3 linked regions of the Daphnia pulex genome follow. The protein of the gene in region 2 purifies or fractionates together with the protein of the main gene of each other region. This does not show direct contact. Links are inferred from orthologs where the notes say so. Each region holds a gene or a part of one and is shown on either strand. Other genes may lie near its edges.

What was found.
Region 1: the proteins of E2F-associated phosphoprotein-like (region 2) and pre-mRNA-processing factor 6-like purify together in Homo sapiens (affinity purification with mass spectrometry; 3 studies listed by BioGRID and IntAct, with this or other methods). This does not show direct contact. The link is inferred for Daphnia pulex from reciprocal best matches to the Homo sapiens genes EAPP and PRPF6.
Region 3: the proteins of E2F-associated phosphoprotein-like (region 2) and protein ecdysoneless-like purify together in Homo sapiens (affinity purification with mass spectrometry; 3 studies listed by BioGRID and IntAct, counting the BioPlex papers as one, with this or other methods). This does not show direct contact. The link is inferred for Daphnia pulex from reciprocal best matches to the Homo sapiens genes EAPP and ECD.

The regions. Positions count from the first base shown.
Region 1 is NC_060027.1:3,689,245-3,693,600, forward strand, and holds the start of pre-mRNA-processing factor 6-like, read right to left. Parts: upstream 2,808-4,356; 5' UTR 2,796-2,807; coding exon 2,705-2,795; intron 2,626-2,704; coding exon 2,486-2,625; intron 2,428-2,485; coding exon 2,244-2,427; intron 2,170-2,243; coding exon 2,132-2,169; intron 2,069-2,131; coding exon 1,873-2,068; intron 1,800-1,872; coding exon 1,704-1,799; intron 1,632-1,703; coding exon 1,477-1,631; intron 1,407-1,476; coding exon 1,379-1,406; intron 1,319-1,378; coding exon 1,141-1,318; intron 1,070-1,140; coding exon 907-1,069; intron 850-906; coding exon 688-849; intron 594-687; coding exon 454-593; intron 374-453; coding exon 223-373; intron 1-222. Other genes in the region: endoglucanase 12-like, read right to left, coding at 3,780-4,008, 4,083-4,222, 4,278-4,356. UniProt on the Homo sapiens protein: Involved in pre-mRNA splicing as component of the U4/U6-U5 tri-snRNP complex, one of the building blocks of the spliceosome.
Region 2 is NC_060018.1:7,628,052-7,631,697, forward strand, and holds E2F-associated phosphoprotein-like, read right to left. Parts: upstream 2,009-3,646; 5' UTR 1,864-2,008; intron 1,793-1,863; 5' UTR 1,780-1,792; coding exon 1,280-1,779; intron 1,197-1,279; coding exon 947-1,196; 3' UTR 510-946; downstream 1-509. Other genes in the region: protein MEMO1-like, read left to right, coding at 2,377-2,425, 2,508-2,589, 2,700-2,768, 2,836-2,948, 3,006-3,117, 3,203-3,419, 3,476-3,580, 3,640-3,646. UniProt on the Homo sapiens protein: May play an important role in the fine-tuning of both major E2F1 activities, the regulation of the cell-cycle and the induction of apoptosis. Promotes S-phase entry, and inhibits p14(ARP) expression.
Region 3 is NC_060018.1:5,231,151-5,234,802, forward strand, and holds the end of protein ecdysoneless-like, read left to right. Parts: intron 1-664; coding exon 665-752; intron 753-827; coding exon 828-1,006; intron 1,007-1,115; coding exon 1,116-1,257; intron 1,258-1,354; coding exon 1,355-1,534; intron 1,535-1,604; coding exon 1,605-1,730; intron 1,731-1,803; coding exon 1,804-1,984; intron 1,985-2,048; coding exon 2,049-2,363; intron 2,364-2,425; coding exon 2,426-2,610; intron 2,611-2,673; coding exon 2,674-2,874; 3' UTR 2,875-3,295; downstream 3,296-3,652. UniProt on the Homo sapiens protein: Regulator of p53/TP53 stability and function. Inhibits MDM2-mediated degradation of p53/TP53 possibly by cooperating in part with TXNIP. May be involved transcriptional regulation. In vitro has intrinsic transactivation activity enhanced by EP300.

The DNA of each region.
Region 1 (4,356 bases), on a different chromosome or scaffold from region 2:
CCTTTCAAAAAAATTTTCCCGATTGTTATTTGACACATTCCGAACAACCAAAAACACCGAGAAGATTTATTACTAAAACGAAAGGCGGATGAAAATATTAAATATCTTCTTCATCTCATCTTCCATGTTCCTGCACTGCTTCTAGTTGAAGATTCCGTTAACAGCCAGTGATTGCAGAGCAGCTACAGACGCCTGGAAGCCCGCGTTATAATCGCAAGCTACTTCGTTCGTAACGAAATTGTGTCTGTCATCTACGTAATGGTCATTTTGGTTATCTGGGCCACCAATTAGAGCTCCATAGAGGATCTGGGGATTAGGATTGGGTGAATCAAAGGCATCCCAATCGCAAACGGCGGGCCTATTCGGACATGAACTGCAAAAAGACGAAAAATTAGAAATGTGTATAATATTTCTGGATATCTATTGTATGAACAAGAAGCTAAAAACACGAACCTGGACGCATGATGTGGCTTCAGTGGTGGATTGTGCCCGAAACCCACGACAAAACTACGGCCTGTATCTCCAAGTGCATAATGAATCTGCTGTTGCGCCAGTTGGCGATACGCCAATGGATTGATGTTCAGATCGGCAGCCTACGGAATAAGTGAATAATATATTAATATATTAGTTTAACGTATTTTTAATCACCAGGCGTAAAATTGTGAATATAATTTTTTTTTTAAATACTTGAAGACAAATGAAAGCGATATTTGATGCGGCGCCTAAAGATCCCCACTTGGTAACAAATAGGAGCCCCTTTGGCGTCTTCGGTTGTTCAACTTTGGAATCACAGAAAGTTTTCGCTGCGTTTCTGTAGAGGTTCTCATTTGTCAGTTTGGCCAACAGAACCTATATGAATTAAATGGCATTAACGGAACAATAATTAAACAAATATAACTGATTTACCTGTACTCCGGCAGTTTTCGTATCCCATGAAAATTCCGATGGATTATCGGAGAGGTTGAAATCGGTGTAAAATGCCTTAGCATCGTCGAGGTAAGCGTTATCGTTAGTAGCTCGGTATAACCAACTAGCGCTCCAAGCCAGTTCGTCACCGAAACCACTTGACCTACAGGCAATTGTGATATTATACCGGATACACATCAAACGCAACAATTTTATTAAATTTAAAGCTTTTACGAATAAAAATCTGCTACTTGTGGGATGGACTCGCTGTATATTCCTCGATGTCGTTTAGCAAAATCGTACAATTGCTTTGCATGTGTCAAGCAAAGAGCTGAGTAAGTGCTGTCGACTGTTTTAAAAACTATTGAAGTTGCGGCAAGTGCGGCAGCTGTTTCACCGGCCAAGTCAGACCCTATCGTGCGCAATGTTGTGTTATTTCTTTGAACGACAATATAATTTAAAAACAAATTACCAGGTTTTGAGGTAGATATAAAAAAAGCCTAAAGCGATAGAAATGTAGTTTTCAGTCGATGAAATAAATGAGTTTAATAATGGGTCAGGGCTTTATACCGGTCGTTTCATGGTCATTTCTTCGGGACGTCCCCAGTAATCGTGATCGAGATCGCCATCGCCCACTTGCCCATAAAATTTGTTAGTTTGCACATGGGCCTTGATAAAGTAATCTGTCGCCCACTTGACCATATTTCGAGCTGTTGTTAATTTCCCTGTATTATTTAAATTAATCCAGTAAGTTTAGTGATCTGATTCAACGAGAAATTGGTTTAAATTTTTAAAACCTGCGGAAGAATATCCAAGCGGATAATCAATTATCGACCAAGCCACTATCGTTATAGAACTGGCTAAAGGAAAACCGAGTTTCAAGTGATCTCCAGCTAAATAAATATGGTAAAGAATTTCAAATACTTTGATGGAATAAAATAGAATACAAATAATAGTATAAATTACCATCGTAATAGCCTCCAGTGAGATCTTCTCCGTCTTGTCCACGATCGTTGAGCGCCGAGTCTGAACGATACGGAATGGGGTTATCGTTTACTGGCAAGCGCCCAGAGCGCTGGGCATAGTAGAAGAGCAATGATTTGGTGATTACTTCACGGTAATTGTATTTAGTCGGCCAGGCATCCACTAAAAGGTTGTTCTCCTAGAAATTGCTTCATTTAGTACAACTTTTTCCATTTTATGCCAAAGAATTAAAATTTATTACTTCTTCTATTATCGGTTGTCTAGCCTCTGTTTTAGTGTCTTGGAAGGACATAATAAAAACAAAATTTAACCAAAAATTCTCTATTATTACGATTAATAATTTAGTTACTTACCAATTAAACAGACGTTGTCTCCGTTAAAAAGTACGCTTGTAATAATGGGTGTGGTGCTGGAACTAAAGAAAGCATTAAAACCGACACTCGTCAGTGTAGCCCCAGCGCTCTGAACTCCGTTAGAACTGAGGTTTCTCAGCTGATATTCCACTTCATTAATCTTAGACTCTGTAGCGTCCCAAGCCTTTAAAAATAAAAATATTCAAAAATGCTATCTATGATGTAACAGGAGCGTGTCATACCTTTAACCATGGAACGGCCGATGAAAATTTCAGGTCAATTTCCCATGAAGTGATTGGAGTCGTAATTGAAATATTAAGCGAGGCAGTCAAGCCTCCCGGCCAAGATGAGCTAATTGTGACGACATTATCGCACGGTCCTCCTATTTATTATTTTGATTGGTGTATTTTTCAACTCTATAATCATGTTAAATATGAGGAACCACACGGAAGAATATTTACCGGAAGCTAGATGCATGAAAAGAAGAATAACGATGAAGCCGGATAAAGACAACATTCTCGGTAGTAAGTTTGCTGGATTCTCTGTCAGCATCGTTCGTCCCGCTCGCCTTTTTATACTTTACATTCGGTCAAAGCATACACGGCACAGACTCAACTCTTTTACGTTATTGCATATTACTTCACAATAATTAAAAAATAACGAAAATACAGTTGCGTAACAAGAATACCATCACCATATTAAAACCATTTTAGAGGAAAAGAATTACTTGAGCAACGCACTGGTATTAGGAAATACAGGACCCATTCGATGGAATGCATACTCACACTACCAGTTTCAAGTAGATTTTATAATATGGATGACGCACAAAATTCTTTTGTTTAGACATTTTTAAAAATTGTCTTATTTTTTTCCCGATGGAACTATAGCCTTGATAACTACGACTTCTTTTGCACGAGGAATTTCAGCGAAATCTCTTTACGGGTTTCTTCGCGGAAAACGTAGTTACGCTTGTTGCATTTTTCGATTTCTATACATCAGTTTATCACCCCCTGTGCGGATTTCAGATGTTCTTGTTTGAAACCAATCAACTTCGACGCTAGATTAATGACTAGCCTATTGTGATGTTTGGGAACTTGGAAATCAATTAGGTGTGGAAATCAATTTATCAACATCTTCTATTGAATTCAGCAGTTGCATAATTCAGGTTTCAGATTGAATGAAACAACACGCGAGCTACCACCTTTACCTTGAAAAGGACATCGAACTCAAACGTATTCCAGACTTTCCTTATACTCTTTCAGATTAATAGACGATTCTTCGTGACATGCGCATCGGTTGAAAAGTTACCAATAGTTTGAGAAATGTATCACCAAATTTTATTTAACTTTTCAAGAACACACAAATGCAGGCGTTTTTTAACCTTTAGTAATAAATCCCATTTCCAAGAAAACCAACAAGATCAGCAGTACTGTAGCAGATAACCATGCAGAATTAAGAGTAAAATATACTTTCTAAAATGTAGGTATATAATATAGTTGTGTAACAAATTCCTGTCTTATCTTGTAAATTTGTATTCTAGTTGAAAACACCTTGGACAGCCAATGATTGCAAAGCAGCTACAGATCCTTGGAAGCCGGCGTTATAATCGCAAGCTACTTCGTTGGTAACGTAATTGCTCCGATCATCCGTGTAATTGTCGTTGCTATCTGGACCACCAACTAGACCTCCATAAAGCACCTGGGGATTGGGTGCAGTTGAGGAATAAGTGCTCCAATCACAAACAGCTGGTCTATTCGGACATGAACTACATAAAAAAAAATAAAAACATTAAAAAATAATAATGCTATCATATTTATAAGCACAATGTTTTATTCAAACCTGGACGCATGATGAGGTTTCAACGGCGGATTAACTCCAAAACCCACGACAAAACTACGGCCTGTATCTCCAAGCGCATAATGAATTTGTTGTTGCGCCAGTTTGCGATACGCCAATGGATTGATGTTGAGGTCAGCCGCCTTTTGAATCGGTGTAAGATTTAAGACTCAAACTCATATGATTATTTTTTTGTACCTGCAGACAGACGAAGGCAATATTCGCTGCATGACGCAATGATCCCCATGTGCTGATGAACAAAAGTCCTTTGGGTGTC
Region 2 (3,646 bases):
CTGAGCTGGGTAGTGGTGTGAGAGAATGGCAGAAAAAGAAGCCCATCATTCTTTGATAGAATTAGTATTCTAGATGAATCTGCCGAGTGTGAAAAAAAAAGCAGGAAGAATTTTTTATGTTTGGAGTCGGCCAGTTTTCTTCATTCTATTTTTGAATGTTTTTCTTCATTGTATTCCTCCTCCCCTCCGAACTTTTATCCCATAAATTAGAAAAATCCATCCGTTCGATGACTGAGACACATTCATCTTCGAGCCCTAGAAACAACCAAATTATTTTCAAATTCTTTGTGGTGTGTTATATCCGCCCAACCTCTTTCCTCGATAAAACACAACCAATTTTGTCCACTTAAAAAAAATTAATAGACGTGGACTTCCTCCCTTTCCCGTTTTTTCAATCTTTGTGCATTGATTTTTGGGTCTCGTCTTCTTTCGCGTTTTTCTTTGTGGGTATAATTTTTCGTTCCCCCCATACTGTTGATGCTTTTGCGTTTTCCCCTTTTTTGAGGCTATTTTGTGCAAATCTTTTCCAATTTCGAATTCGATAGGGATCTGGGATAGGGGTTTGATGGTAGCCGAGTCGATTGGATAACACAGACACACAGGAATTATTTTGAATAAATATTCCTCTTAATCATTTGATTCCCACCCGTTTTACAGCGTTTCACATCATTAATTAGTTTTTTGGTTAAAAAAATCCCATGTTTTGTTCGCACAGTGCGGAATATTACTTTTGGGTGTGTGAACCGTTGCCCACTGACCCTTCCGTTATTTTATTTTCTTTTCACATGAAAAGAAATTGTGACTTCCTCTCCTCCCCCTTTTGATGTGTGGCGATTACACAAAATTTTTGTCCTCGAAGACTCTTGATTTTCTTATTACAATAACTTTAAGTGCACACACAAGTTTAACAACACACTGACAAAAATAATAACAGACGGGACTTTATTCAATGACTCGTAACGACATTGAAAAAATGATACACTTCATCACTATCAAACATAGCCACATGTGTGTTGCACGTGGAACACCGTACCGGATGATAAACATCTTCAGACCCACTGAAAGTAGGTTCATCTGACGCCGTCTTCTTGGAACGGTTTTTCTGTGACTGCAGAGGAATTTTCATCACCTCACTCATGTCTACTTGACAATGAAAAGTAAACATAGCCCTGTACTGTGTTTTGATAGTTTCATGCCTACAAGGTTAACATTCAGTCAATACAAGAGATTCAGCAAAGTCTTATGATGTAATTAATTAAAAAGCAGGTCGTATAATTACCTCTGACAGTCATGGCATAAAGTTGTAAAACATGCAGGGCAGTTCAACACCGCATCACTGTTAGGTAAAAGTTTGGGCTTGGCCTGATTCTTGAATTTCTTTCTGTACATGTCTCGCTGCTTTTGTACATAGGATTCATCTTTGAGATCCATTTGAGGATCATAAAATAATTCCATATTAGATTGTGCTTGAGCTGTTGAATCTTCTGTTTCGACATCTTCTTCAGAATCAGTGTCAAAGTAGTGATCTCTTGACTTGCTTTCTGTTTTAACATCACTCCCAAATTTTGTTGGATCTTGAATTTTTTCTTTCTCAAGATAAGTTGCCACACGAAGCTCCAATTCCTTGTTCATTTCAGCCTGAAAATCTTTCAACGACTTTTTTCCCCCAGACTCTGATTGCTTGTAAAATTCTTTCATAACCATTTCATCGTCATCGCTCGAATCGATGCCTCCTTCATCGCTGAACTGTTGGACAATGTAGTCGTCATCTGAATCCATTTTGGAAAAAGAGCTGAAATCGGTGAAAACAAGTATTTTATATACAGCGAAAACTAGCTTCACACTCTTAAAAGTTTTACTCACCGTTATTACACAAGAAACCAATATTGTTTTCATCAACAAGCATTAAACGATGGTCTTACGTACGTATAACTAAGCAAATCAGCATGTGCCCTTCTGTCAATTCTTTGTTGACATCGTTATAACTCGATTCTTTCAGGCGATAGGCCGATAGCTGCCACTGATTTAAAATTTCATTCAAATTGATTTAATGCCTATAAAAAGCTTTAAAAAATCTATCAGGATTTTTAAAAAATAATTTAAAAATAAAAATCATGTAACTTTTCCTGGAATTTTCGATTTCTGTAATAGTTAATTTTTCGCATCGTTGATTGCTTTCGGTCGGTCTGCTTTCACCCCCCAATGGTCCAATCCTCAATCACTTGTGTGAGAAGGACGGCTGGTTGCATTGTGTACAGTGGTGGTACACTGCTAGGTGGGTTAGGAAATAGGACTATTCTTAAATAATTTTAATCGAGAATAGAACTGGTGATATCCTTTAGATTAAAGATTACGTAAAAAAGGGTTATTTTTAACATGTCCGTACGAAAAGCATCCCACGCTGGCAGCTGGTATTCTGATTCGGGTAATATTGACACATCTTTGTTCCTTTGTTTAAATGGAAAAACATCATATTTTAGTTGTTTATCATATTTACCCTTTCCTAGCTAAGGAACTTGGTCGTCAACTCGATGGGTGGCTAGATGCAGCCAATTTCTCACATGGACCAGCAAGGGCTATCATTGCACCGTAAGTTTTTTAAATGATTATTTTTTTTTTACTTCTATCAATAAAATATAAATTTGTGAAAGTCTCTCCTGTGCGAAAATTAACAAAAGCTGTTTATTATTTTACCACAGGCATGCTGGCTATCGTTATTGCGGATCTTGTGCAGGTTTTGCATACAAACAGATTGATCCTACAAATGTGTAAAAATAAGCCTCAAAAATTTTTTTACCTTTTATTTTCCCATCAGTGTGTATGTTGTTGGAACAGGAAACGTGTCTTTATTCTAGGGCCTTCCCATCATGTAAGGCTGTCTGGATGTGCCCTCTCATCTGTAGCCAAATACCGCACTCCATTTTATGATCTCACCATTGATACACAGGGTAAATTTATATTTCACAATTTTGTAAGGGAAAATATTTAGTCTGTATTATTTTTAGTGTATAAAGAACTACAGGGTACTGGCTGCTTTGAGTGGATGAATCTGGAAACAGATGAAGATGAGCATAGCATTGAAATGCATCTGCCTTATATTGCCAAAGTTTTTGAAAAGTATGTGAATTTATTGCAATCAGAATTCTTCACATGCAAATTATTGCAATGTTGTTCATTTTCAAATATCTTGCTGTTTTTTTAGTCACAGAGATTTTACCATTGTCCCAATTTTGGTTGGATCGCTGTCTCCGGAACGTGAAACCCACTACGGAAGACTCCTTTCCAAGTATCTCGCGGACCCCAACAACTGTTTCGTCGTTTCATCGGATTTTTGCCACTGGGGTCAACGATTTCGTTACACCCACTATGACAAAGCATGCGGAGAAATTTTCCAGTCTATCCAAAGGCTAGATCGAGAAGTATAATCGTTTTTCCCTTCTCATTTACTAATATTTACTGTGCCATAAATGAACAGGGTATGTCCATCATTGAAACACTGGATACGGCTGGATTCACCGAATATTTAAAAAAATACGGCAATACCATATGCGGTAGACATCCAATCGGAGTCCTGTTAAATGTAAAAAATCTTGTATTGTCAGACTAGTGAAGTTTTTTAATTGTTATCTATTTTTATAGATGATAG
Region 3 (3,652 bases), about 2.4 Mb from region 2:
TCTATCTCTCTCTCTCTCTCTCCTACCTCCCTCTTTCTTCCCCCTATCGCCTCCCACCTCCCGTAGCCCGCCCTCTCCACCCATTACCCCCCCTCCCTCCGCTTGAGTCGGCCCTGGACACACTACTCAAAGGCAACTCTAAAGGAAGGTGCGGGTCCACCTGAAGTCCTCAGTTGTCCGCCGAACTTCCATTCACGTAGACACAACAGGAGCTCTCCATTTCTCTCTCTCCTCTCTATCTCTCCTGTTTTTCTTTTCCCCACTTCTTTGCCACATCGCCGCCTCTGTGCTATTTTTATATTCGCTTGCACTCTCTCGTCAGGAAGTCTTTTTCCTGTCCCCTACAAGCGATAAATTGTTTTCGTGAATCGCCGTTGATTACTTACCCAATTCCAACATGTCACCAACATGCTCTAAATTGTGCAACTGCTGGCTTTGCCGCACTCGCAGTTAATCTATTTTAGAAAAAAACCTTGTGAATTGGTAAGCGACTATTTTTGGCATCTCCAACTTTTTCAATCAATTACACTAAGCATCGCGCCAGTGGTCCGCCGTTTCTGCGGATATAATTGAATTAGTGATTTAACCGGATGGTCTAGACAATTGATATTCTAACCAGTTTTGTTGTTTGTTTGTTTTGTTTTTCTTCTTCTCCCCATCACAGAATTGTTGATTCAGATGGTGAATTCTTGCTGGTTGAAGCTGCCGATAGTCTTCCGCGTTGGGCCAACCCAGAAACTTGCATCAACAGGGTAAGTTTATTCGCTTAACTCTTTTTTTTGGAATTCCTTGACAAAGTTATAATTTTATCACTCTGAAAATTACAGGTTTTTATCCATGGTGGTCAAGTTCATATAATCAGTATAGCTGATCGTCCCTCTAGTATCACTCCTTTACCGTCAGGCCAGCCTTCTCTGATGGACGCTGTTCACATTGTTCGTTCCATGCCGCACTTGACCATAGCACCCGCTCCCATTCAAGAGCCAATCCACCAGCGCATTGACAAGTAAATTTGAAATTTCTAATTTTGTTTTCGAGTTTAAGGCCATTTCGTAATGGGGACAACTCCCCTGGTTTTTTTTTTGTGTGTGTGTTTTTTCTTTCAACTAATTCAGGTGCGTATCTCAAATCGATTCCAGTCTTCACCGTTGCAATGTATTCGTGCCTGCTGGTGTTGCCGCTTTGCTGCAATCCTATCCGACTCTTGTAGCACCAGCTATTCATGCATTCTGTCAGCGCGATGCCTCTCAACTGCAGGTATTTAAAAAGTGTCTGGTTAAAATGTCAGCTCAAACCCGAGCTCCCGAAGGCAAGGTTTAATCAATTATTTTGTTCCCCCCGTTATGTAACGTAGGTTATCCGCGCCATGCGTTTCTTTCCCCCAGAAACTCGAGTATGGACGTCAGTGACATTCACAAAATGTCTTTATGCTATGCTTGTTCACCGTAACTACCAGCCAGATCACAGGACTGGCTGGTCTTTACCACCGATTGGCGATTCCAAACGAACGGGTTCAGACCTTGGCATGAAACTTGTACGCAATTTCTTTTATCTGATTTTGTCTTTTCTGTTTTGAATTTATTTATGTTTTCAAATCATTTCAGGCTATTGGATTTGAATTACTGGCTAACGAGGAATCCTTACACCAAAAAGACGACGATTATTCTTTGGACATGGATTCACGTTGGAATCGATTCCTAAACACACTGAAAGAAAAAGGATTTTTCCAGGTAAATTTCACTGAAAGTTATTTTGTCAAATTTACAAAGTAATTTGTGTTTTTATTTCTGTTTGTTCTTTTAGGATTTCCTCGATGGTTCTAAACCACATAATGAGCTTATGGAAAAAGCTCGAGAATTTTACATCAATAGTGTGGGAGTAGAAGGACCGGCAAAGAAACCTGTCATTTTAAGACTGATGCAATCTGTTTGTGCCGATGTCGACAAATTCAAGAAAGTAGAATCCCATTTACCTGCGGATGACGGTAAGGTTTCACTTGTAAGACGTTGGTAGAACTGCAACTCATGTTTCGTTGTTATTCAATACAGATGACTCCTGGCTATCTGTTGATCCTGCCACCCTTGATCAAATTCTCGGCGACAAATTTAGTTTGTTGGGAGTCGATGATGATGACGAGGCCAAGGCCGATATCTTGCCTAAACTTGAAACCTTCCTCAATCGGACGTCAGATTATGAAGGTCTTACGCCGGCCAACGGCAGGAAGAAATCCAGAAAGCTTTCTCACCTAGCTCCGCCTTCAAGGAAGACGTCAACGCTCTCAAACGCCTCTGACGCTTCCCAACTTTCTACCAACATTGGTTTCGATCCAGATAGTTTTGCATCCGCAATGCAAGGGATTCTTGGTACGTCAATTTCTTGTAAATTTGTTGGACTTTGAAAATAATAAAAAAAAAATCTTTTGTAGATTTCGCTCTGCCAGAAGACAATTGGGATTTGGAATCAAATTCTTCTTGTTTGAGCAGCTACAGTGAAGAGGAAGAAGGCGACGAGTTGGTAGACAAGGAGATGAACAAATACATGCAAACAATGGATCAAGAATTGTTAACCACGGATGTTCATCGTACTTCCGTAGACAACCCTACTCGCAAGGTAAATTTTTGTGTGTGTGGAATTAACAAACAATTGGTAATAAGCCATCGAATTCGTTTCCAGGAATCCGTCATGAGCGAAGGTTGTGAGAGTTTCAGCGATGTGGAAAACTTTCAACCCGTAAAAATTGATTCTGCTGCTCTTGAATCCCTTCTTGCTTCCTACACAATGCAGCGTGGTGGTCCTGGTCCTGCATCTATTTTGTTGAATCAATTGAATCTTTCTCGGAGCCAGGTATCAGCCAGTAAAAAACAAACCGACTGAAGATTGTGACCTTACGTTTGTTTTTCTCCTCTTTTTCTCTTCACTCTTTCCCTATGTAATTATTATCGATGTCTTTTCATCCGCCCTATTTCCTCTTACCCATGCGATTGGGTGATTTGAGGTTTAATTTATTATTATGATTCGTCTTTTGATAAAAACTTCCGGTTTTTTTTTTCTTTAAAAAATTCGGTCCCTCACCTTTTCGAATCTGACACATTTCTCAAAAGCCAGTCGCTGCTATCCCTCTGTGATACACAACGCTCGGTGGAGGTGGTTTGTATAACGGGACTTTTTTTTTTTTTTTCCATTTCCAGCTCCATTCCTAATACATTTCGGATTTATGTATTCGCCTTCTTTGCGTTCTTCCATGTCTTTTGGCGTTATAGCTGCCATTTGAAAGATACACGAGGATTCACACTGAGCACGTCTTGTAAATTAAGTCGATACAAACGGAACGACTCGTGGGGTCAAATTACTCGTACCCACGCAAGTCACGGTTTGCCTCCAGCCCGTATCCTTGTTCCAGATTTTAAAAATACCTTTTTTTTTTGCTAAGTTGTTGTATGCGCACAAATGTGGAGTCAAAAGGGCAAGGTACAAGCTATTTTAATTCGCGTCTGGCCATTATTTTTATTCTTTTGGCTTTTTGAAGTAGTTCTAATGAATTTGAGTATCGTTAAATTGTTTGCCAACATACCAAAATGTCCAATCATCGAGTTCTCAACGGATTTGATGATAATACAGTTGAGTAAGTTTGAAGGATGCCATTACGCAGTTT